Linked DNA regions of Lonchura striata. The protein of the gene in region 3 purifies or fractionates together with the protein of the main gene of each other region. This does not show direct contact. Links are inferred from orthologs where the notes say so. Each region holds a gene or a part of one and is shown on either strand. Other genes may lie near its edges. The genes, in order: APBA2, KLC1 and CLSTN1.

The links.
Region 1: the proteins of CLSTN1 (region 3) and APBA2 purify together in Homo sapiens (affinity purification with western blotting; 3 studies listed by BioGRID and IntAct, with this or other methods). This does not show direct contact. The link is inferred for Lonchura striata from reciprocal best matches to the Homo sapiens genes CLSTN1 and APBA2.
Region 2: the proteins of CLSTN1 (region 3) and KLC1 purify together in Homo sapiens (co-immunoprecipitation; 3 studies listed by BioGRID and IntAct, with this or other methods). This does not show direct contact. The link is inferred for Lonchura striata from reciprocal best matches to the Homo sapiens genes CLSTN1 and KLC1.

Annotation. Positions count from the first base shown.
Region 1 is NC_134613.1:9,538,761-9,545,784, forward strand, and holds the start of APBA2 (amyloid-beta A4 precursor protein-binding family A member 2), read left to right. Parts: upstream 1-3,938; 5' UTR 3,939-4,103; intron 4,104-7,024. UniProt on the Homo sapiens protein: Putative function in synaptic vesicle exocytosis by binding to STXBP1, an essential component of the synaptic vesicle exocytotic machinery. May modulate processing of the amyloid-beta precursor protein (APP) and hence formation of APP-beta.
Region 2 is NC_134608.1:9,984,629-9,991,562, reverse strand, and holds the start of KLC1 (kinesin light chain 1), read left to right. Parts: upstream 1-3,831; 5' UTR 3,832-4,145; intron 4,146-6,934. UniProt on the Homo sapiens protein: Kinesin is a microtubule-associated force-producing protein that may play a role in organelle transport. The light chain may function in coupling of cargo to the heavy chain or in the modulation of its ATPase activity.
Region 3 is NC_134626.1:1,483,994-1,491,518, reverse strand, and holds the start of CLSTN1 (calsyntenin-1), read left to right. Parts: upstream 1-4,510; 5' UTR 4,511-4,579; coding exon 4,580-4,646; intron 4,647-7,525. UniProt on the Homo sapiens protein: Postsynaptic adhesion molecule that binds to presynaptic neurexins to mediate both excitatory and inhibitory synapse formation.

The DNA.
Region 1 (7,024 bases), on a different chromosome or scaffold from region 3:
GAGAGTTTAGGTCTGCAGATTAGTCAGTACACAAAACTGGATCATGTTCTCACAAGCTCTTAAAATTTGATGGGATCAGACCCCCTTACTTGTCTGGGTATGTGCTACAGGACAGGAGAATTTCCCCTTCTGGAGCTGCAGACTTAGAGAATAGCCAAGGGAGCTACAGCTGCATATGATCTGAAGACAGCTACAGCTGAGAGAGGTTTCCTGGTTATAAACTTAACTCCCTTAGACTTCAGTAGGAACAGAATCAACCTCTATCAACTGTGTAGTCCTTCACCTTAAAGCAGGCAGCCTATACAAGTTGTTGTTCTGACTTACCAAGGGGTTGGGACAAGGCTTACTTACATAGGCCTTACTCTTTGTCACTACCATGATTATAAGAGGGGAGTAACACCCAGAAAAACTGGAAGTTCAGGGATGGAAACTGGGGAACAAGAGAGCTGTGATTTGCTCCTTTCAGTGGAGGGGCATTTAACAATACACTCCTGTTGCATCATTTTACAACTTCTGGGAAGAACAACAGTGATTCAAATAACTGGAGCCTGATTATCTTGGAAGGGAAATAGTTTTTGACAGTATTTAATCTTTTTTGGTTTTTGTCTGTTTGGTGGATTTTTTAAAACAGCAAAACCTTCTTCTCTGATGTCAAGCTTCTCAGAAGATGGAGTGTTAGTATTTTGCCAGTAAATTTTCTCATGCTTTTGCCACTAGTTAAGTGCAAGTTCCCTGTTCTAATCTCTCCATGTGCCTCTTTTCCCCTCTGAGCTGAAGCGTGTTCCTATTTTATACTGCCTAAGGCAGACAAGATACATTTTTCTGGACTCCATCAACATTACTCAGGCAGCTAAAGAGCTCATAATTAAATGATGCAAAATATCTTTTTTTACTTCCTCTCTGCAATCCTCAAGTCACTCCTAGGTGGGAGGAGGTGAAGAGGCTGCAGAATGAATCCCATTCCTTATGATGAGACAAACCTAGAAGCAAACTTAAAATGCTGTGAAAAAAACTAACTTTATGCCTTTTAAAAGCTAACCTTACAGTTTTGCAATTCTGCAAAAACTCTGTTCCTGTCATGCTTATTCTGCAATTAATGCACCCGAATTTCATTCTGAATTCTGTTGCTTTCATTATTACCATATCAACCTGAAGTCTCATAGAAAGACCATGAAACATAGAGATGCTTACATTATCTGGTTGAGGTACTTACAGTAGGAGTGTATGGACAGTGACACTTCATTTGACTCTGTCCTTACAAGGAATTCTTCCTGTAGTGATGTGAGATGGGTGTGTTGGATGTAAGAACCCTTAACTAATAGAAAAACTCAGAATTGTTTCAATATCAGTTCTTTTACCAAAGCACTTGTCATGCTGGCCAAATTGAGGCTGTCAAACAGAATAAGATCATCAAGTTCAACTAGTTAATGAATATGAAAATAGGAACTAACAACAATATATAAATTAATCAACCTAGGGCTGACATTTTGCAATGGAAGACCTCAACCACTTAGGAATGCAAAATCTGTCACCTTTGACAAGCATCTTCAAAGCACCTTGAACAAATTATGAAATAAATATTTATCTTATTGTGAAGGAGGGATATTTATATCTTGTATAATCCTTAAATATCTATAATATTATGTAAACTGTTAATGTTTGTTTTCACTGTCTGGTATATTGTCAAAAAGCACTGCTAACTGCAATGTTCTTAGCATAGTAATGAGGAAGAGTTCTCTGATACATTTTAACATAATGATACATTTTGAAACATTTAATAACTTTTCTAGATCTGAAGTGGCCTTTCAGCTGTTACTGCTAAAACAAAAATAGTAAATAGGTATTAAAATCTTCTATAAAGTAGATATTTAATGAAAATTTTTACTTATTTTTAACATTACATTTTTTTCAGTAATAAAGACAGGTTCAAAACATAATTTTAAGATCTGAAGTAATTTGCAACTGCAGGTACACTGAAAGCATGTATGATGATGCACAATTTGCATTAAATAAGGGGAATATCCAACTCTGCACCCATGGCTGGCTTTTATGGAAATGATTATTTCCAGAAATTGAAGAGTAAGAGAGGTATGTTCCAGGATTGGTATTATGCACCCTATTTTTACCTTCCATTTTGGTATGTAATTTTCTATAATAACCATCTGTCTGAATCACTGTCTCCAAAATGATGTGGAGGGAGAATGTTTGTTAGAAACTTAAATTTTAAAAAGTTAAAAGATACATCCCACTTCCTTTGGGACCTCTGAAGTCTTTGAGAGGTCAATTGTGGTACAATACCTGCAACTGCCGTAACTTCATAAAGAAAACATCTGCCCTATTGGGCTGGAAATACTGCTTTTGGTATTTTGATAAAGTGAGACTTTATTATGTATAAGAGGCTGTTTCATCAAGTTAACAATTTTGATAATTAATAATTCAAAAGATCACTTGCCAAATGCTTAAACAACCTGCCTATAGGTTATATATGTAGATACACTGCAGTTCTGTGTAAAACATACATGTATTACAGTTTGGGTAATGTTTTGAGTTTTCAGTATCTTCAAAAGAAAACCAAAATCTGTCCAGTAATTGGGATATAGAAAGGGACAGATGGGAAAAGACACCATAGAAAACCATGCCAGAAAATAGCCTCTTAGCAGCAAATGGAGAGTCTTAACAAAAATCTTAACAACTAAACCTTAAAAATCTTAACAACTAAAAAAACCAAAACAAAACAAAACCACAAAAAGGTGTTTCCATGAAGGACCTTTGCATGTACATGGAATGTGTCTTGATACTAACACGAGAGCAAAATGAACAACCCCACGCTGAGCACACAGCTATTACCGTAAACACTGATACCTAGCTGGTTGTAGTGCAGTATCATTACATTAGGACAGCTTTTTACTTTTGCTATAGTGAGAAAGATTAGCTGCTATCTCAAATTTGCACAATTATTAGCAAAGCCTGTCAGAATTGCTCTAAGATATGTGTTTCTTTATATACAAAATAGTCACTATCACCTAGCTGCCCTAAAAATATCTAGAGGTTTCAATAAAAGGCCTGAGGAACCAACTGTGTTTATCATCCACTGTAAGAAATGTTCTTGGAGAAACTTCAGTGAGCTTTTAAATAGTACACATTGAATCCTACATTAAACTTTAGGGGTGGATCTATGTATTATTTGCACAAGGGCACAAAAATCATGATTTGTCCTCATAAATCTGGCTGTGTGATGGAATGTGACTGAGTCCAGTGCTGTCCCTTGCTATAATGGTCAAACTTTTGGTGTTTGGGGCTTTGTTGTGCTGAAGCACCTCAAGCAACAGGGAGAGGTGAGGTGAACACCTAGCAGGATGACACGGCATTCAGGAATGTAATTCGCAGAGAGATGCTGTGGAGACTCCGAGAAAACATCCTCAGCTCCGGCCCAGCACCAGAGCAGATCCCTGGGGAATCAGGGTGGCCCTGCCGAGTGCCACAGCGGGATGCGGGCGTGCAGCAAACAGCGCTGCGGCAGCTGCTGCCCGGGGCTCGGGAGCGGAGCTGGCGGGGCCTGCTCTCAGTGCCCGCGTCCGGACACGGTCACCGAGTCAGGACTGCCCGGGCTGGGAGGCACGGCCACCTGGAGCAGGTGACGGGAACGCGTCCGGCCGGTTCCGAGTGTCTTCAGACGGGGAGACCCCACAGCCCCCCTGCGCAGCTCTGCCAGGGCTCTGCCACCCTCAGTGTCAAGCTCTCCCTCACGCTGAGGTGAAACTCGTGCTTCAGTTTATGGCCATTGCTCCTCGTCCTGTCGCTGGACGCCTCTGAGGGCGCGGTACAGGCGGAGCTGGCGCAGTGCCCGGCCGCCGGTGCGGAGCTGGAAGGCGGGCGGGCCGGGGCGTCCCGCCGAGCCCGCCGGGCTGCGCGGGGCCGCGGCCGCCCCCCGCTGCCGCCGGGGCCGGGAGGCGGCGCGGGCGCTATGCGCCATGCAGGTTCCCGGGCGCTGGCGCAGGCAGGTTCCCGGGCGGGCCCGCCGCGGTGTGCGGCGCTCGGCAGCCACACAAAAGAGCGGCTGCGGCTGCCCCGCTGCTCGGGACCGGCGCCGCCGCTGCACCGCGGTAAGGACGGGGGGCGCAGGGCGGGGGGCTGACCGACCGACCGACCGACCGACCGACCGACCGACCGACCGCCGGCCGGGGTCGTCGCGGGACCGGCGGCTCCGTCGCGGGTGGGGCGGCAGCATCCCGCGGGTGCCCTCAGGGGAGCGGGGAGCCCCCGGGCACGCGCCCGCCCCGCGGCAGCACGGCCGGGGCTCCCCTCGAACCGGGGCTGGGGGCTGCTCTCCCCGCGAGCGGCTACCCCCGCCCCATCCCATCCTCATCTCCATCCTCATCCCCATCCCCTGGCAACCGAGCTGCCCGCAAGCGGACGGGAAGCCGGGGTGAAGGGGAGCCCCTGCGGCATGGCGGAGCGGCCGCGCTGTCGCGATGGGCGGCGCGGGGCCCCGGCACCGGGGGCTGCCGCACTCCCGCTTGTCCCCGCTGAGCCCGGGGAGGCGCCGCCACCGCCCCCCGCCAGGCGGGGGAGAACCGGCGGCGATCCCCCGGGCCGGGCTGCGGCTCCGCTCGGCTCCCGCAGGACGGTGCGAGCTCCGAGCCCGGCCCGGCCGCCTCAGCCCCGCCGTGCCGGGACGGCGGCTCCGGGTAACGCGGGCACCGGCCGTGCAGCATCCGCATCATGTCAGCGTTTTGTGGCAGGGCGGGAGGCTTAAGTCCGTTTGTCTTAATACGAGTGAAAAGAAAAGCGAGAGGAGCCCTCCTGTAATGCAGCACCGCTCGGAGTTTGTATTTGGTTCTGGTTTCATGTCTCCACTGTAGCAAAGGGATCAGTCTTTGATCTGCTCTTTCCCCGTTCCCTTAATCATGAAATCTGGAGGGAAAAGGGTGCTCAATTAAGAATATCTGATTCTTGTTGGGATAAACAACATGAGATAGTATAGCACGGTCTGTTTGCCTCTTATTGAACAGTTTTTTGAATATGTGTGTGTGGTGCCTTGTATTGCCATAACAAAAGGGATGGGGGTGGGGGAAAGGAAGGGAATACTGCATTTAGAGCTGCATCTTGGAAAGTCAAAGACTGCCTTATTTTGCCTCAACTGGCAGTCTGTGCTTTCAGATTTACACACTTTGCATCCTCAGAGTTGTTTTGGTGGTTGTTGCATGCTAGTGAGGACATACAAGAAAAGAAATTTAACTGAAGAGATCATACAACGTGTATAGTACAGAGATAATGTGCATTGCAGTGATGTTTAAGAAAAGTCTGAAATTACTGTGACCAGTTGGAAAAATGCAAGTAGTTTTTTCAGTTGTATTACTTGGCCCTATAATCTCCCAGGAGGGGCTGGGAAATCTGTTTGCAGAAAAGGTATTTATCTATTATGCCTGCTACCCAAGAATCCCTCATTAATTAATAAGTAGAACTGAAGAAAAGAACCAATTACTGTCATAGTTTTTTGTCGTTCTGTGTAAGCCTCAGCGTTTCAAATATAACATTGTTTTAAAGGGGAGGAATTCTAGTTTAAGTCCTTATTGCCACTTAAAATACAGTATATGCAGGTTATGTGTTTGAGAAGCAAAAGATTGACATTTATGTCAAGCATAAGATGACAATTTATCATTATCATCCTGGTTCTTCTCCATATGGGACAGACAAGATGAAAGAGCTTTTCTTTCATACGTTGTTCTATGAGAGCTAAACTGCTGAAATTGAAGCCACTGTCCTTAGTCCATTTCATAAGTTCATAGGATTTCATGCTGCAGAACTGTCCTTATAAACCCTGACTGTCAGTTTCGAAATCTCTGATAGTTTAGCCCATATCTGCACTTGGAAATATCTGAAGCTATATTAAAAATGCATAATCAGCTACATTATTGCTCTCTCTTGATCCTCTGATAGTAAAGGAAAAGTGTTCTTGCAAAAGCCATAGATGCTCAGCTCTTTTGGTCAAAGTATTACAGTTCCAAGGAGGAATCTCGATAAGCATGTTTTGTGTAGATACTTGATTAATGCTGGTTCAGGCTGGGGACTGGACATGAATTAAAACAAGCTAGGTCTTTGAAAAGTGACCTTTGCTTAAGGCTGTGAACATGAGAAACCACTTCAAGAAGCATAATTTTGCCATCTCTCGAGCTGTTCTGCTAAGAAGATTTGCTAAGAAGTAATTTGTGAAAATACCATGGTTTAACCATCTTTCAGTTAATATTCCTGTGCTGAGGGTGGAGAAATTAGAAAAAGTAACCTGTTCCAAGCTACCAGCTCACAGAGAGATATAGAGGATTCTGGTTTTGTTCAGAACTAATCTTGGTGGTAGCCTTTGAACACATCAGAGTTCAGGTGCTTCTGCAGAGTTTTTATATCCATTTCCCTTGTAATCTGTGTTTAAATAAACAAGGCAATTATTTCATGCTTTAAGCACTGCAATGGTAGAGGCTGAGAAGCAGCCCTGCCAAAAAGGCCCAGAGGTCCTGGTGGACAGCAAACTGGACATGAACCAGCCACAACCCCTGGCAACAGAGAGAGCCAGGAGCATCCTGGTCTGTATGAACAACAGTGCAGCCAGGACATCGAGGGAAGTGATTATTCCCTTCTGCTCAGTAGGTGATGTTTATAACCCTGGGTCCAGTTTTGGTCCCCCAGTAAAGGAAGTTATTGAAGACCTGGGGTTCTGCAGAGGCCATTGAAGTGGCTGGGGCTGGAGGCTGAGCTCTGAGCAGAGGGTTAGGGAGTGGGACTTGATCAGCCTGCAGAAGGGAGGCTATGGGGGCACCTAACAGCAGTCTTCCAGTCCTTATAAGAGTTCCTCAGGGAACTGGAGCCAGGCTCTACACAGTGGCATGTGCCAAAGAATGAGAGACAAAAGGCATATGTTGAAATAAAGGTTCAGACTAGATACAAGTAAAATACTTTGCCCCACAAGGACAATCATACATGGAGACAGGTAGCCCAGAGAGGTTATATGGTCTCTGTAAAGACCAGGCTG
Region 2 (6,934 bases), on a different chromosome or scaffold from region 3:
GACTTGGGAAGCAGGACCATGATCAGTGTTTATTTTACTAAGAATTAATGCCTTGCCTGACAGTAGGTTCCCAATGGTAAGTTCAGGCATTTGACAATGAGTCAAGCAAAGCAAAACACACTCCTTTTACCCCAAAGTGCCTGAATTTTCTCACAAAAAGGTAGCTCTGCATGCAGTAATTGTACATATGAAGAAAAGAGTTGGGCTAAAATTGTGCCTAGGACTGGGTGCTTGACATTTCTGAGTCTTGAGCACTGGTTTTTATGTCTCCTCTTTTCCATAAAGGATGTTCTTGTAGGAAATACAAACTAAAACATATGCAACTGTCAAGTGGTTTTGATGAAAAACCAGCCAGATTGCTGAATCTGGCCTTTCAATATTTATTATTGCCAGGATGCTTTTAAATAGCAGTTTAGCAGCAGTTAAAATTACTCCAATATAGTACTTTATTGTGGCCATATTTCTAAAATTATGTCATAGATTTTATAGACTATAAGATTAGATTAAAAAAAAAAAATCTCTTTGGATGGGAAGATCCTCTAAGACAGAAGGATGTATTTTTTTAGTACAATGGTGTGCTGGTGGCATTTGGCCACTGTCAACCCATCACAAACTGTAAAATAAAATGACCCACACTTCTTAAAGGAAGTGAACCTGAATTTCTTTAGAGGTTTGCCCCATTTCTGAATGTCAGGTAAGCTGACCTCAGTTCACTGTGTGTATTTCTCACACTGTTGCACTTCAAAAACCACAGAGCTTTGTGCTGCATTAGTTGAACTGTTTGCTTTTTGCTCTCCCACTGTGCATTACAAACCTCCCTCTCTCTTCTGGGAGTAGAGGGAAATTGGAATATTGAGACTAAAGAATCCAGCATTGTAAATAATTAGTTTTGGGGTTTTGTTTTGGCATGCACTCAGGAGTCTGCAGAAAACAATGGTGACTTTGCTGGTGATAGGCAAAGGATCATAGGAGTCACCATCCTTGAAGGTGTTTAAGTAAAGATTGGATATGGCACTTAGTGCCATGGTCTAGTTGACATGGTTGTGTTAGGTCATAGGTTGGGCTTGATAATCTCAGAGGTCTTTTCCAACCTAATTGACTCTGTGATTTCATAATATACTAGAGACAGCATATCTCGATAATTTAATCAAAAAATCAGGGCTTGCAGCATAACCAGTTCCTTAAGATAAAATGGAAATGTGGGCAGTGAATAGTTTTTACTGCTAGATGAACCTGGATAATTCTCATGTAGATGAGACAGGAAAAACAAGATCCAAATGAAGAGGAACTCTTTGGATATTTCAGGTCAGGCAGTAGCTTGAGGAAAAATCATCTTCACCAAGTCTCTCCTGTGTCTAGCTTCTGCTGTGTGCCATAAACACAGAGGAGTAAACTGCACTATAGTTCCATTGAGCTAATCAACCTTCCTGCAGGAGAGAGCTTATAGTGTGTGCTGTTTATGTGGGAAATTGCCAGGATGCATATACTTGATTAGCCAGCATATTATGAATCAGGGTCATAGCTGGAGTAGTTGCTTTGTTCAGGGATGCTCATATCCCTGGGGTAAGCAGCTAATTGCAGGAAATCTTTTAAAGAAAATGTGTGATAGGAAGAAAGCAATGAATATTGTTTATTCAAAAGGCAGGAGTGGTTCCTTTGAATCAGTTCTCTTGCATAATTATGTAATTAGGGCATGTTCTATTTTTAATTAAAGCTCTTGCATATTCATGAGAATACTCTGAACCTGTGAACCAATTGGTATAACTCTTTAAAATGTAGTTTCTGTAAGGGAATGCCCTTCAATCTTTTTCCCCCTTTCGTATTACTGTGCAAAGAGATATTTCACACTGTTATAATTAGGTTGTATTGCCTGTTAAAACTAAAATGTGGTTAATTAAACCATTAATATAAAATTGCCAGAGAAAAGTTTTAAATTGAGATGAAGAATACAAGAACTGCTGCTTGGAAATACTTGTATCAAAACTGGGTTTTGCTGGACAGCTGGATCTGTGTAAAATATCAATCAGAGAGTGGAATTCAGTAAGTATACTTTATTTCCCTCAGCTTTTCAAATCCAGCAATGATTCTCTGTATTTACAGTCTGAAGACTATCTATGTTCCCCTAACTTTGCTTTGTTTCTTGTGGGCTTCTGTGACTCTTCCTGTTCTTCTGCCTCTTTGACAACAGCATTAGCTTTGATTCCTCTTCTGACTTCCTGCTTATTCTTAGGAGCCTTGCTTTCTCACCCGACTCTTGTTCTCACATCTATTCTGTAGACTTGCTCAGCATTGTACATGAGGGCAAACATATGCAAGCTCTGCTTTCCTTTAATACTTTAAATATTACCACTTAGGTGAGGCTGCATATTTTGATTTACCACTATACCTCTATGTTCTTCTATTAGGTTATGATTCACACCCTGTACATATTGCAGGTCCCCTTCCACTGAACAATGCTATTCTATTCTATGTGGAGCTCAGGTGATAATGCATCACAATACAACTCTTTCATAAAGTTAGGCTGTCACTAATCCCTGATGATTTACAGTGTACATTTTACAGCTTTGCTATAATTAATGTTTTGAGTGCTTGGTTTTTTTTTTGGGGGGGTCTTTGTTTTTGTTGTATTGTTTGTTTGTTTGGGTTTTTGAATGGTTATTTTAATTTTTTTTCTATCTTATACCTCAGTTCCCTCCATCTTTCCTTTCTGGGCTTAACGTCTAACTAGTGGAACATAACATGAAAATACTGTGGCTGTTCCTTCCTCTCTAGCAAGAGTGGGAATGAAATTGGAAGCTGCAAATAAATAGTTCTTGTGACAAGTGTCACTGAGTTCTCATGGAACTCTTACTTTTCATGTATAAATATGTGTAAGAGCAGGGACCTTTCACTTACTTCCCCGCAGAACAAAGATGAAGGCATTGAAATATATTGGCAACACTCACTGAGCTCTGTGTGGTGGGCAACCTTTAACACAGTACTTCTCCTTCAGCTTATTTCTCTGTGACTCGCTCCATTGAGCCGTTGCAAACTGCGGGGATTTTCAAGCATATTTCATGAAGTCATGGTTGGAAGAGACCCTCATGATTTTCCAGTTCAACCATCTACCCAGCACTGCCCCTGTAACCCCATGACCACTAAACCACATTGCCCAGTGCCACATCCAGGTGCCTCTTATCACCTCTGGGGTGGTGGCTCCACCAGCTCCCCGGGCAACCTATTCCAGAGAATGATGAGGTTCCTCCTGAGCCTCCTCGTCTTGAAACCAAACCAACTCGGGTCCCTCAGCCATTCCCCATAAGACACGTTTTCTAGACATTTCACGAGCCTTGCTGCCCTTTGCTGGACACACTCCAGCACCTCAATGTCCTTTTTAAAGGGCGTGGAAGATTTTCCCAGAGGCATCCAACTGAGATGGGGACATCAGTTTCACGAGTCCTGCAGTTACCATAACCCTGAACTTCTCTCCACGGGAGTAGGTCAAACCAGCGCCAAGAGCACCAGCAGTGGAGCGAAACCGCCCCGGTGTCACCCAGGGCGCCCCGAGGAAACGCCGGGATCTGCTCTGCACTGACATCCACTTGAGGCAAATCCTAGCGAGGTTTAGCGCGGCTGCACTGGCAGCCTCGGGGATGCCCCTGAAGCCCGGAGCTGCGCCGAGCATCCCGCGCGGCGCCGCCGCTCCCGGGCAGGGATGGCGCCGTGAGGGGGGCGCTGGGAGAGAAGGGCGCGCGGGCGCTTGTGGGAGAAGGGGGGCGCCGCCATGTCAGGCGGGGCGGGAGGGAAGGAGGGAGGGGAGCGCGGGGCGGGACCGGGACCGGGGCGGCGGCCGCAGCCGCAGCAGCAGCAGCCGGGGCGGTGGTGGCGGCTGCCGGCAGCTGTCAGCGCCCGCTCCGCCGGCGCCGACCACCGCGGCCCTGCAGCGCCTTGCGGGGAGCACTGGGCGCGCCGTGGTGCTGACTCGCTTCTTTCTCGCCTTCCCTCCCTCTCTCCGCTCCTCTCTCCCCCCAAAAAACCCTTTTCCTTCCTCCCTTTCGCCCGCCCATCGCTGACATCCTCCTCCGGCCGCCTCCCCGCCCCGGGCTGCGCGGCCCCCGCCGCCCCAGCGAGCGCTGCGCACATCGCCCGAGCTGCAGCACCGAGCGGTGAGCGGGGGGAGCCGCAGGGCCGGGACGCGGGGTTTGTGTGTGTGTGTGTGTGCGTGTATGTGTGTATGTGTGTATGTGCGTGTGTGTTTGGGTGCGGGTGCCTGGGGCGTTCAGTTCCCCTCCCTTTTCATCCGCCGCTGCGCAAATAACAAAAGGCTGCGCGGGCCGCCCGGTGCCCCCGCGGCGCCGCCGCTGACAGCCGGCCCCGTCCTTCCGCGCCCAGGGCGGGGTGGCTTTTTGGGGAGGCTGTTTTTGGGCGTTTTGTCAGTTGCGCTCGGCTGCGGGCAGGGGTACGTGCCTGAGGATGGGGATCGGCTCGGCTTTGTCCCCGTTTCCTCTCCCGGCTCCCCTCGGTGCTGCGGCGGGCGCCGCCCTGGGAGGGAGCGGGCAGAGGGCTGGGGAGGCTTCGGCCTGCGGCCCCGGGCGTGCGGCGCTTTGTCTGCGCTCCCCCGGCTCCGCGCTCTGCCGCTGCCAGGTCCGAGCTGCTGGAGGGCGAGGCGAGGACAGGTCTTCTCTGGGCTTTGTACACAGTGACCGGATTTATACATTGTAGGTCACCTGCCTTGCTGTAGTCGGAGGCGATTCATATAGACTTAGGTCTTGCCTGGATTTCTGCACCCTCAGAATAAGGCAAGCATTGGTTAGAAACGCGTTAATCTAGCAAAAATATAGAATTTATTTAATTGATAACTAACTGTATCTTTAGAGCAGAGATTGATTAGAAGGACACTTTAAAACCTTATTCATTTTGCTTTTGTCTTTCTGATATTTCTAAGTAACAAGATGCCGTATTTATAGATCTGCATAGCAGTTGTATGTAATCAGAATAAGGAAAGTTCTTAACACTTATTGAATTCTGTGTTCTAGGCATATTGAAGCACATTTTAATGACCAATGTGGCATCACCTAGTGTAATACTCTTGTGTGGCTTTTGAAGGTGGCTAATCAGTGATGGAGCTCTTAATAAGTTTTTTTTTGTATTAAGTAATTTCCATTAATGGATATGATGTAAAAGTAGTATCAGTACTCAAGATACTGGTCATGAAGTCAGAATACAGACTCAGAAAACAAAACTGACTAGGAAAAAGCAAAAGTCTGTTTTTATAGTTTGATTTGAACAGCAAAATAGTGAGCCAGTGTCATTCATATAACATGCTTTCATGTTTAGACATAATAGAAGAAACTAAACCAGTTAAGATTCAGTTTTAGCTGTGTTGTGCTTGACAAAAGGTTTAACAAAAATTGCTCTGCAAAGTAATTGTCTCTTTCACTTCCACTTTTGCATTTGCTCATCACTTAAATAGGAAACTTATGTACAAAGTGTGTCCATTGGAAGATAAAGAGGAGCTGTTGAGAATTTAGACAGCTTCGCATTTTGATTAAAAAAAAATCCCTACTAAACTGAAAGCAGCACCTTTTCGAGTGCACAGTTGGTTTAAAACTCTTTTGGAAGATAGCTTTATTTTAATTGAGTATGAATTCCAAAGCTTCAGCGAAACATGATAGAGGATGTTATAACCCTAGGATTACAGATACAATTGGAAGTTACACATTCAGCATTTACTGGCAGCAGAGAGAAAGCTGATCCATCTGGTGAGGCTGAGCAGAAGACCTTGTAAGTCACTTGCGCAATTATTTTTGTGACCACATGGTTCAGGAGGACCTTTTCCATGAAATTAGAACAGCTATGGAGAATTCTGGCAGCTCCATTTAGGTAGACATTTCACATAATGGAGAAGCATGTGGGCAAGTGCAGGAAATTTAAATTGTCTGTTCCTGAAACTGGCTCATCAATGCAGTATCACTTCTGCATCATGTTGCAGTTCAAGTTTGGCAGCCTTCATGTTTCTGAAGGATGATGATGGAGCTGAAGAATTCCAGTAGTCAGAAATTCTAACAGCAATTAGTGCACAGATTCCCTTTACTTGCTACCATATATAATTAAAACAGAGAATAAAGTTACCCCCCAAAGGCCCTGTGAAGTAGCCTCATGGTTTGTCAAATTCCTATTATATGGTTAATAATGCCTTATTAATGGAATGGATTATTTTAAAAGGTCTCTAATATACAACAGAGGACTCACATACATAATTTGTAATTAAATGTGCAGGAGTCCCAAGCACAATCTGAATGTTTTTGACATAGAACAAAATACACTGGACAGATGTTTAAGGCATATAAGGACAATTGCTGCTTCCTGTGTTTATGGAGAACTTGCCATGCTAATGTCAGAGACCTCTCACTCATGTGCTGCTCATACAGTACACATATCTCTCTCTCTCTCTGTATCTTTTTGTGTATGCATACATATCTGCATATGTCTCCTATTTAATTGGGGGTTTGGGGAAATAATGTAGCCTTATATTCAGTTCTGAGTCCATTTAATGTAGCTTCTGTTTCTCTTGAAATGTGGGCTTGTGCAGTTACTCTTTCATCTCTTCTTCTGTTTGACTTCTCTGGGAGACGTGCAATTGAATTTACTCTGGGATTAACAGCATCTCTCCAGCTGCATAGCTCATGATTATTTTAAAACTCAATTCAGTGTACAAATACTTGTCAAATAAAGTTTCCGTAAGCGGAGTAAAAAATACAGAAATTTGGGTAAATTCATAAATAAGCAAAGTGTACTTTTGTATTCACTGTTGAAGTGCAGCATCACGGACAGTGATGGGGACAAGCATGCTAAGTCTAGTTAAATTAACATTCTTTGTAGTCAGTGTGCCTCCAGGGTGTTGTTCAGTATGACACAACTGTTGTAAAAATGGACCAATTCCATCATCATCTCA
Region 3 (7,525 bases):
CACTAATTGCACTGAGATGAAAAACAAGCCCACACTTGGTTCCAGACTCTTTATTTAAGGTAACCATTTTCTCAATGCAGTTCTAGACTGTTTGAAGTTTGGGCTCTTTCCCTGTACAAATCCCTTCAAACAAGAGGCAAGTCTAATGTCCAGAAGTAACAGTGAATATTCTGCATGTATTCAAAATAATTTGTGATCTGAACTCTAACAAGCAGATCCGGATTTGATGTTGATGCACCCGAGCACGTCCTGCTGCTCCCTGTATTCAGTGTGCATTGCCTGCCTTTCAGGAGCAAGCAAATGCATTCATTTCTCCCTATCACCCTATCTTTCCTGTTCTGGCTGCTCAGCTCCACTCTGACAAGCACAATAAATGTGTCCTCCTGGGTCCTTGCAAGCCAGGCATTAGTCACACTGTGCATTTCAAGGACATCAGGCCGATAGGTTTTCAGCTGAAACAGAAAACATGTCCTGCCAGGAGCCATTTGTTCCAGTTTTGTTGCTTACCAGTAAAATAAAGATCAATGGTTTTTTGGAACCAGAGAAGCAGGTCAGAGAGTAGGAGGGAGATAAGTGGTAAAATGAAGTTGCTGAAGTTAGTTCCCTGAATTTCTCTGAAATAATGGCATGTGGCATTTGGGATAGAATGAGGATCTCTGTCAGCGTGGGAAATGAGTTTCCTCTGGCAGACAGGAGGAACAGGACAGCTCTTGCCTAACAGCAGACAGGACTGGTGCACAGCAGGTCCCACACTGGGTGATTGAAATCAAATTGAGCTTTGTGAAACAAAATGAGAGGATGTTGTATTTGCCGCACTTCCAGAGTAAGTGCCAGTGCAACATCTGTGGTGACAGGGATCAGGATTTCATGTGGCTGCCTCACCTCATCCTGTCTGTATCAGCCTCTCAACTGCCTGTTCAAACCTCTGCCACCCAAGGAAATAAAGCCATTGAATTGATCCTAAAATACAGCCTAAAGAATTGTTTGCTTTACTGAATCAGTGCCTTAGTCACAACTGACTCGGAGGAGTTTTGCTTAGAAAGTGAAATGCCATCAATGCCTTCTCCTTCCTTGGAAATTTCCCAGTTTCAGCATGACTGATTCAGCTGATTAATTCATCTGAGCTGGTAGTGTCATTGTGTAATAAATAAGGTTTACCCAGACATAGCATTTCTTCTCTTAAAAGCATTTCCTCTTCCTAATTCTGCAGAATCAGAACAATTTAAACAAGTCCTGATGGTAACACTGAAACCCCTTCTCACTGTGGTCCATGGTGCTCTGTTTTCTCCTGTTAAAATGCATGATACAGCCCTAGTGAAATGCAAAGCACTTTTAAAATGTTGTTTTGCCACACCTAATGATAACTTAGTTCGCAAAAAATGTTTTAATAGAGAATGTGTATGTGAATGCTGACTGGCCAGACATTCAGCCCTCATCAGATACCTTTACATTGACATTAAAGCTGTGTCCATAGTTAGATTCCTAATCAAAATCCAGTATTTGGGTGAGTACTGGGTGTGTATTATGCCATATATTCATCAATGGGCAATCATCTTTCAACTGATGAGATCTTGCCTAGCAAATCTTTACTAATGGGGTGGTTCTTACTCAGACGGTACATTAGTAAGCCTAGTTTGAGAGTCACACTGTGCTGGACAATCCTCCTCTCCACACAAAAGAGAAACACATCATGTAGCACCCTGTCAGCTGAAGCTGCGTTGGCAGAATGTAAAGACTCAGCTCTCTGGCAACAGATGGGCTACAGGCTTCTTCTGACATGATCTGCCATCCAGCATATGTTAGCCAGGCTGAGAAATCAAGGAGGTTTAGACTGAGGCTTTAGCTTTATTTAAAAAAAGGAGATGTCTTAGCTCTTGCTAGAGCAGCTGCCCTACAGTCCATGGAATAACTGGAGTACCTTGGCTAGGGGAGAGCTGCAGGGCACAGGATGGAACGGGGGATGTTCACTGTCTTGGGCCTCAGGGTGCGGCTCTCCAGGCTCTGAAGACAGAGTGAACAGCGAGTAAAAGCGGTTGGTTTTGGGCGTGGAAGAGGAAGAACATTTTTCCTCTGGATGCCCAAATGTACCAGCTTGTACAGACCAGATTCTGTCACCTCCGAGGCCCGAGTGGCTGCTTCAGGGCAGGTTTCTCCAGGTTTCTCACCTTTGCTTTCTCCCCCAACTCGAGTGTGGGGTGACCAGGTAGTGAGCCCTGGGCTTGCCTCAGGACGGAGGAGGAGGCTTTTCCAGCACAGATCAATCTTGGTATTTAAATTGCACAGGAAATAAGGAAATACCACATCTCTAAGATCCTGAACATTCTGGACTTTATTTTTATTTCGCTGTGGGAGTGAAATGGCTAGTAGGTACAAAGCATAAGTACTCAGATCTAATTATAAAATAAGTTGGTTGCATTTTAATTGTCAAAACTCAAAACTCAGATCATGGTATTGATTATTTTTTCCTTTGTTGAAATATTTTCTCATTGGAATTTTGGATAGTAGAGCAAAGAACTTTTCTGTTATAGGACTTGTTCTGTGTAACTTAATGAAAATTATTGATTTATATAGCACTTGGAATTTTTTCCAAACCAGAATAATATTTTCCTTTGATAGAAGTCACAACACTAAAAGGTTTGTTACTCTGCAGGGCAGACTCAGCGATGCACCAAGGTGTGTTTGTGTTTGGACACATTCCTGCAGGATTGCACTTCTAGAGCTGGGAAAACAGCAAGGCAGGGTGCTGGGTTAATGGTTGGATTTCATGATAATAAAGGTCTTTTCCAAACTAAATGATGCTGTGATTGTTTGTGCCCGATGCTTGTAGCACCAGGTGTTGGCAGTTTGTTCATCCGAGCTGCTGACTGGGCTGTGCATCCCATTCCCAGCGTGTCCCTGTACCTGCCTGCCTCTGCCATCAGCTTTGGGTTGGGTGAAACCCAGCGGTCCTGTCTTGTTTTTCTGAAAAGATGTGTGAATATAAGGGCGAAGGCATCAAAATAGCTTTATATGGGGTTAATTATTTCTTAAATAGCTTCATACGGGGTTTAACTCTTCCCAACGACTTGGGGACTTAATCAGCATTTATTAAATGAGCGGTGTGAGGCTTTGGCCAGGCACCAATTGAAATCAGCAGTGTGAGGCTTTAGAGGGGCACCAGTTTAAATCAGCGGTGTGAGGCTTTGGCCGGGCACCAGTTTAAATCAGCGGTGTGAGGCTTTGGCCGGGCACCGATTTAAATCAGCGGTGTGAGGCTTCGGAGGGGCAGCAGGTCCCCTCAGCCGTGTGAGGCGTTGCGGAGGCCGCTCTGCTCCCTCCCCCGGCCCGGTTCTGTCCAGCCCGCGGTACGAAGCCAAACGAAGCCCAGAGCGCCTGAAACAGCGGCGGCGGCGGAGGCGCTGCGGGCCCGGCGGGCGGGAGGTGCCCGTGAGGGAGCACCATGCCGGTGCTCGTGAGGGAGTGGTGATGCCCGTGAGGGAGCACCATGGCGGTGCCCGTGAGAGAGCACCATGCCGGTGCCCGTGAGGGAGCGGCGGTGCCCGTGAGGGAGTGGTGATGCCCCTGAGGGAGCACCGCGGCGGTGCCCGTGAGGGAACACCATGGCGGTGCCCCTGAGGGAACACCATGGCGGTGCCCCTGAGGGAGCGGAGATGCCCGTGAGGGAACACCATGGCGGTGCCCGTGAGGGAGCGGTGATGCCCGTGAGGGAACACCATGCCGGTGCCCGTAAGGGAACACCATGGCGGTGCCCGTGAGGGAACACCATGGCGGTGCCCGTGAGGGAGTGGTGACGCCCCTGAGGGAGCACCACGGCGGTGCCCGTGAGGGAACACCATGGCGGTGCCCGTGAGGGAGCGGCGGTGCCCGTGAGGGAGTGGTGACGCCCCTGAGGGAGCACCACGGCGGTGCCCGTGAGGGAACACCATGGCGGTGCCCCTGAGGGAGCGGAGATGCCCGTGAGGGAACACCATGGCGGTGCCCGTGAGAGAGCACCATGCCGGTGCCCGTGAGGGAGCGGCGGTGCCCGTGAGGGAGTGGTGATGCCCCTGAGGGAGCACCGCGGCGGTGCCCGTGAGGGAACACCATGGCGATGCCCGTGAGGGAACACCATGCCGGTGCCCGTAAGGGAGCACCATGGCGGTGCCCGTGAGGGAGTGGTGATGCCCCTGAGGGAGCACCGCGGCGGTGCCCGTGAAGGAGCGGCGGTGCCCGTGAGGGAGTGCCATGGCAGCGCTGCCGCAGTGCCCTCAGCGCCGGGGGCGGGGCGCGCCGCAGCTCGCGGGGGTCCGCAATGGGCTCTCCCGGCCACCCCCCGCCCCGCGCCGTTGGTTCGCTCCCTCCCCCGCCTGTGCCCGGCGCGGGCCCGGCCGCCATTTTAGGAGCCGCCGGCGGGGTGGGCGGGGGAGGGAGGGGAGGGACGGTGAGCGGAGCGGCGCCGCGCAGCGCTTCTTCTCCTCCCTCCTCCTCTTCCTCCTCCTCCGCGGGGCCGAGCCGAGCCCTCCGCCCGCCGCACAGCGGAGCCCGGACCAGCGGGGGCGCCAGCCGGGGCTGCGCGCTGCCGTCCCCGCTCCGCGCTGCCATGCCGGCCCCCGCCGCCCGCCTGCTGCTCGCCGCGCTGCTCTGCGGAGCGGCCGCGGCCGCTCGAGGTAACGCGGCTGCGGCGGGCGGGGGAGGCTGCGCGGCGCCTTGGCGGCCGTCCGGGTCGCCTGGCGAGCTGCGGCGCGGGCGGGCGAGGGGACGGTGTCCTTGGCGCCCTGCGCAGGGGAGGGAGCGCGGAGGCGGGCGGACACCGAGGGTTGGGGAAGGGGGCAGGATGGAGCTGCGGCCGGGATGACTCCGCCGCGGCCATTGCACCTGCAGAGGGGACGAGCGGATGGCGGCTCGCCCTCCCGGCTCACCTGCGCCCGGCGGCCCCGAGCCGTGCCAGCCGCGGGGGGCCCGGCCCGGCCCGGCCCGGCCCGGCCCGGCCCGGCCCGGCGGGGGATGCGCGGCGGCGGCGCTCGCTGTGTCCGCCCGCCCGTTACATAACGGGGCCCGGGCGGGCGGGGGGCGGCACTTGTTGCCGGGAGGGTCCAGCGGCAGAGCCGGCCGGAGCGGGGATAAAACCCCTGGGCAGGCGGGCCTGGCTGGGCTGGCGTGGGAAAGCTCCGTGCGGGGATGAGCCGGAGCGGCGCCCGGGCCAGCCCGTGCGGGTTGGCGATGTGAGCGCGGGCGTGTGGCTATTGATTGATCCCGAGGAGCAGCAGCATCATACGCATTGCGGGGCTGCTCCCCGGCAGGCTTCAGTGAGAGGCTCGGAGATGCCTCCTCACCTGAAGGTTACCCCTGGCAGCGGGAATGCTGCTTCTGCAAGATTCAGCTGATCGCATGATGAGATTTAAGAGCGTTGAAAAGCAGCGTACATTAGAAGTGCGGCTGTAAAATGGCTTATAAATACCTTGAAGGGAACTTCTAGATCTGAAAAACAGCTCGTTATGGACACATCTTGCTGCAGTTTCCCTGTGTGGGGAGAAGAAGCTGATGCTGTAGTATGTCTCGAAAGTCCTCTGCCAGCTGTTTTGACAGTGGCCATCATTTACCTGTGTAAGATCCCTCGAGTACAATCTGTTCACCAGCGTTCATGTTATCATTAAATGTAGTATTTACTACACCAGTACACAAGCACAGTGTTTTTGAATTCCATCGTTTGAAATTAGGAATAAGATCAAGATCAAAAAACCATTTTCCAAGAAAGCTGCTTGGAAACAAATGGCAGATTCATGCAGCATTACCCAGGACAGCGCTGGTAGGCAGATTTTCTGCAGCTTGTTGGAGGCAGTACCTGTTTTCAGTCAGACCTACAGAGCTGCTGGACTGCAGGTCCTGATCTGTTTAACTTCATCACACATAACTGAGTTACAGAATGAGGGCTGATTCAGTGTAGTATGTGCAGCTGCCTTAGTCCTTGCAGTGTTTTGGCTGCTGTAGGTAGGCCTGTTAATAATATTATGTGGAGATGCACTTAGTGACAAGAAAAGAAAGCTCTGGGCTGCTTGTTTTTATTTCCCTGTTGTTAGGGAAGGCATTTGTTTGGAAGCATTTATGGTAAGCTTTCCATTTTGTGCTGTATTGCTAGTTTCTTTTTTTTTTTTTCCAAGTACAGTTGAACTTGCCAGTTTTGCCATTCCTGTTGTTGGAACAGGGGAGTGAAAAGTGGTTTTGTTTTGTTGATTGTGGAAAGAAAGGGAAATAGCATTTGGGGGATGTGATCTTGCACAAAAAGCAGGTGTGAGCTAGCTGACCTACCATCTTCCCTGTAGTTATTTTAAGGGGTGCAGAGAGTGATTTTTGCGTTCTAAAGAGGCATTTTCCTGTCCAGCTGGTGCAAAACTCCTAATTGAATTTGTTTTGTAATTGATCAAGTTGACCCAAATATTTCTCAGGTGGTTGCAGTGGAAAAGCAGTACCTAGCAGTGCATTGTGGCTGTGTTTGCGGGTGAAGCAGTTGGATGTCTCTGCCCAGAGCAGGCTGGGGAGTGGAATGGAGCAGCTCCGGGAGGAGGAGGCAGCACAGCTCACTGCTGCTGCTTCCCTGGGCCTGACCAGGCAGAGTGGCAGACCTCTGTTGTCTTGGGGCCCTTCCAGCTCACTGTCGTTTAGGAAGGGTATTGATGGAAGGAAGTAATACTATCTTGAAGAAACTTTGCTGATCTGTGATTATTTCAGGAAGTTATGTGGTGCTGTGAATGTCTTAAATCCAAACCACAAACCACTTTGTTACTACCACAGTCTTGCTGCAGATGTTTCTTTGACACAGGAACAGCCTTTTTAATATAGGGCTGGGGATTAGGTAGGTTCTTTCTCCTTTCTAGAGGCAAGGAAATGTAACACTACCCTAAAGCATTATGTAGAGACAATTTGGCTATTTATGTGGCCTGTTCTTTTTTTGTTCTCCAAGTATTTATGAAAGTAAGAAACCACTGAGAAGAGAGAGAGAGAATTAACCAGTGCAAGACCTCTCTACAATATATAGTGCTTGGGAAAGCATTATATACAGCCATCTGTTCATGTAAACAATTTTAATCTCTTTTTCTGTATGTGTTATTTAAAATAATGCACTGCTGTGGAAACTGAAATGGAGGAGAGATGGTCTGGGCAAGCATGGTTTACACTGCATTTTGAATACTCCTGTGCTGGTTGTCTTCTCCCATGTTACCAGGCTGCAGGTTGTGCTGTCTGTGCTGAGGTAGCTGGAAAAATTAACAGAAACTTCTGAATAAATGTATCTTTGGTTTGAGGTTGTAATGTTACTGCAGACACAAAATAACCAATTGCAAATATTTTTTTTAGGAGGTGGAAAGAAGCTGGGCTCATGGGCTTCAGTGTGTCATGAAAGTCAGAAGGGTTGAAGTTAAACCCAGGTCAGGCCACATCTCTGCATAATGTGACCATCCCACAATTTAGAATTCTGATATTCTGGGTAAAACAGTGTTTCCTGCCATGAAGCCCAAGTACGTGATAGCTGAGTGGCTTGCGGCTCTGAAAC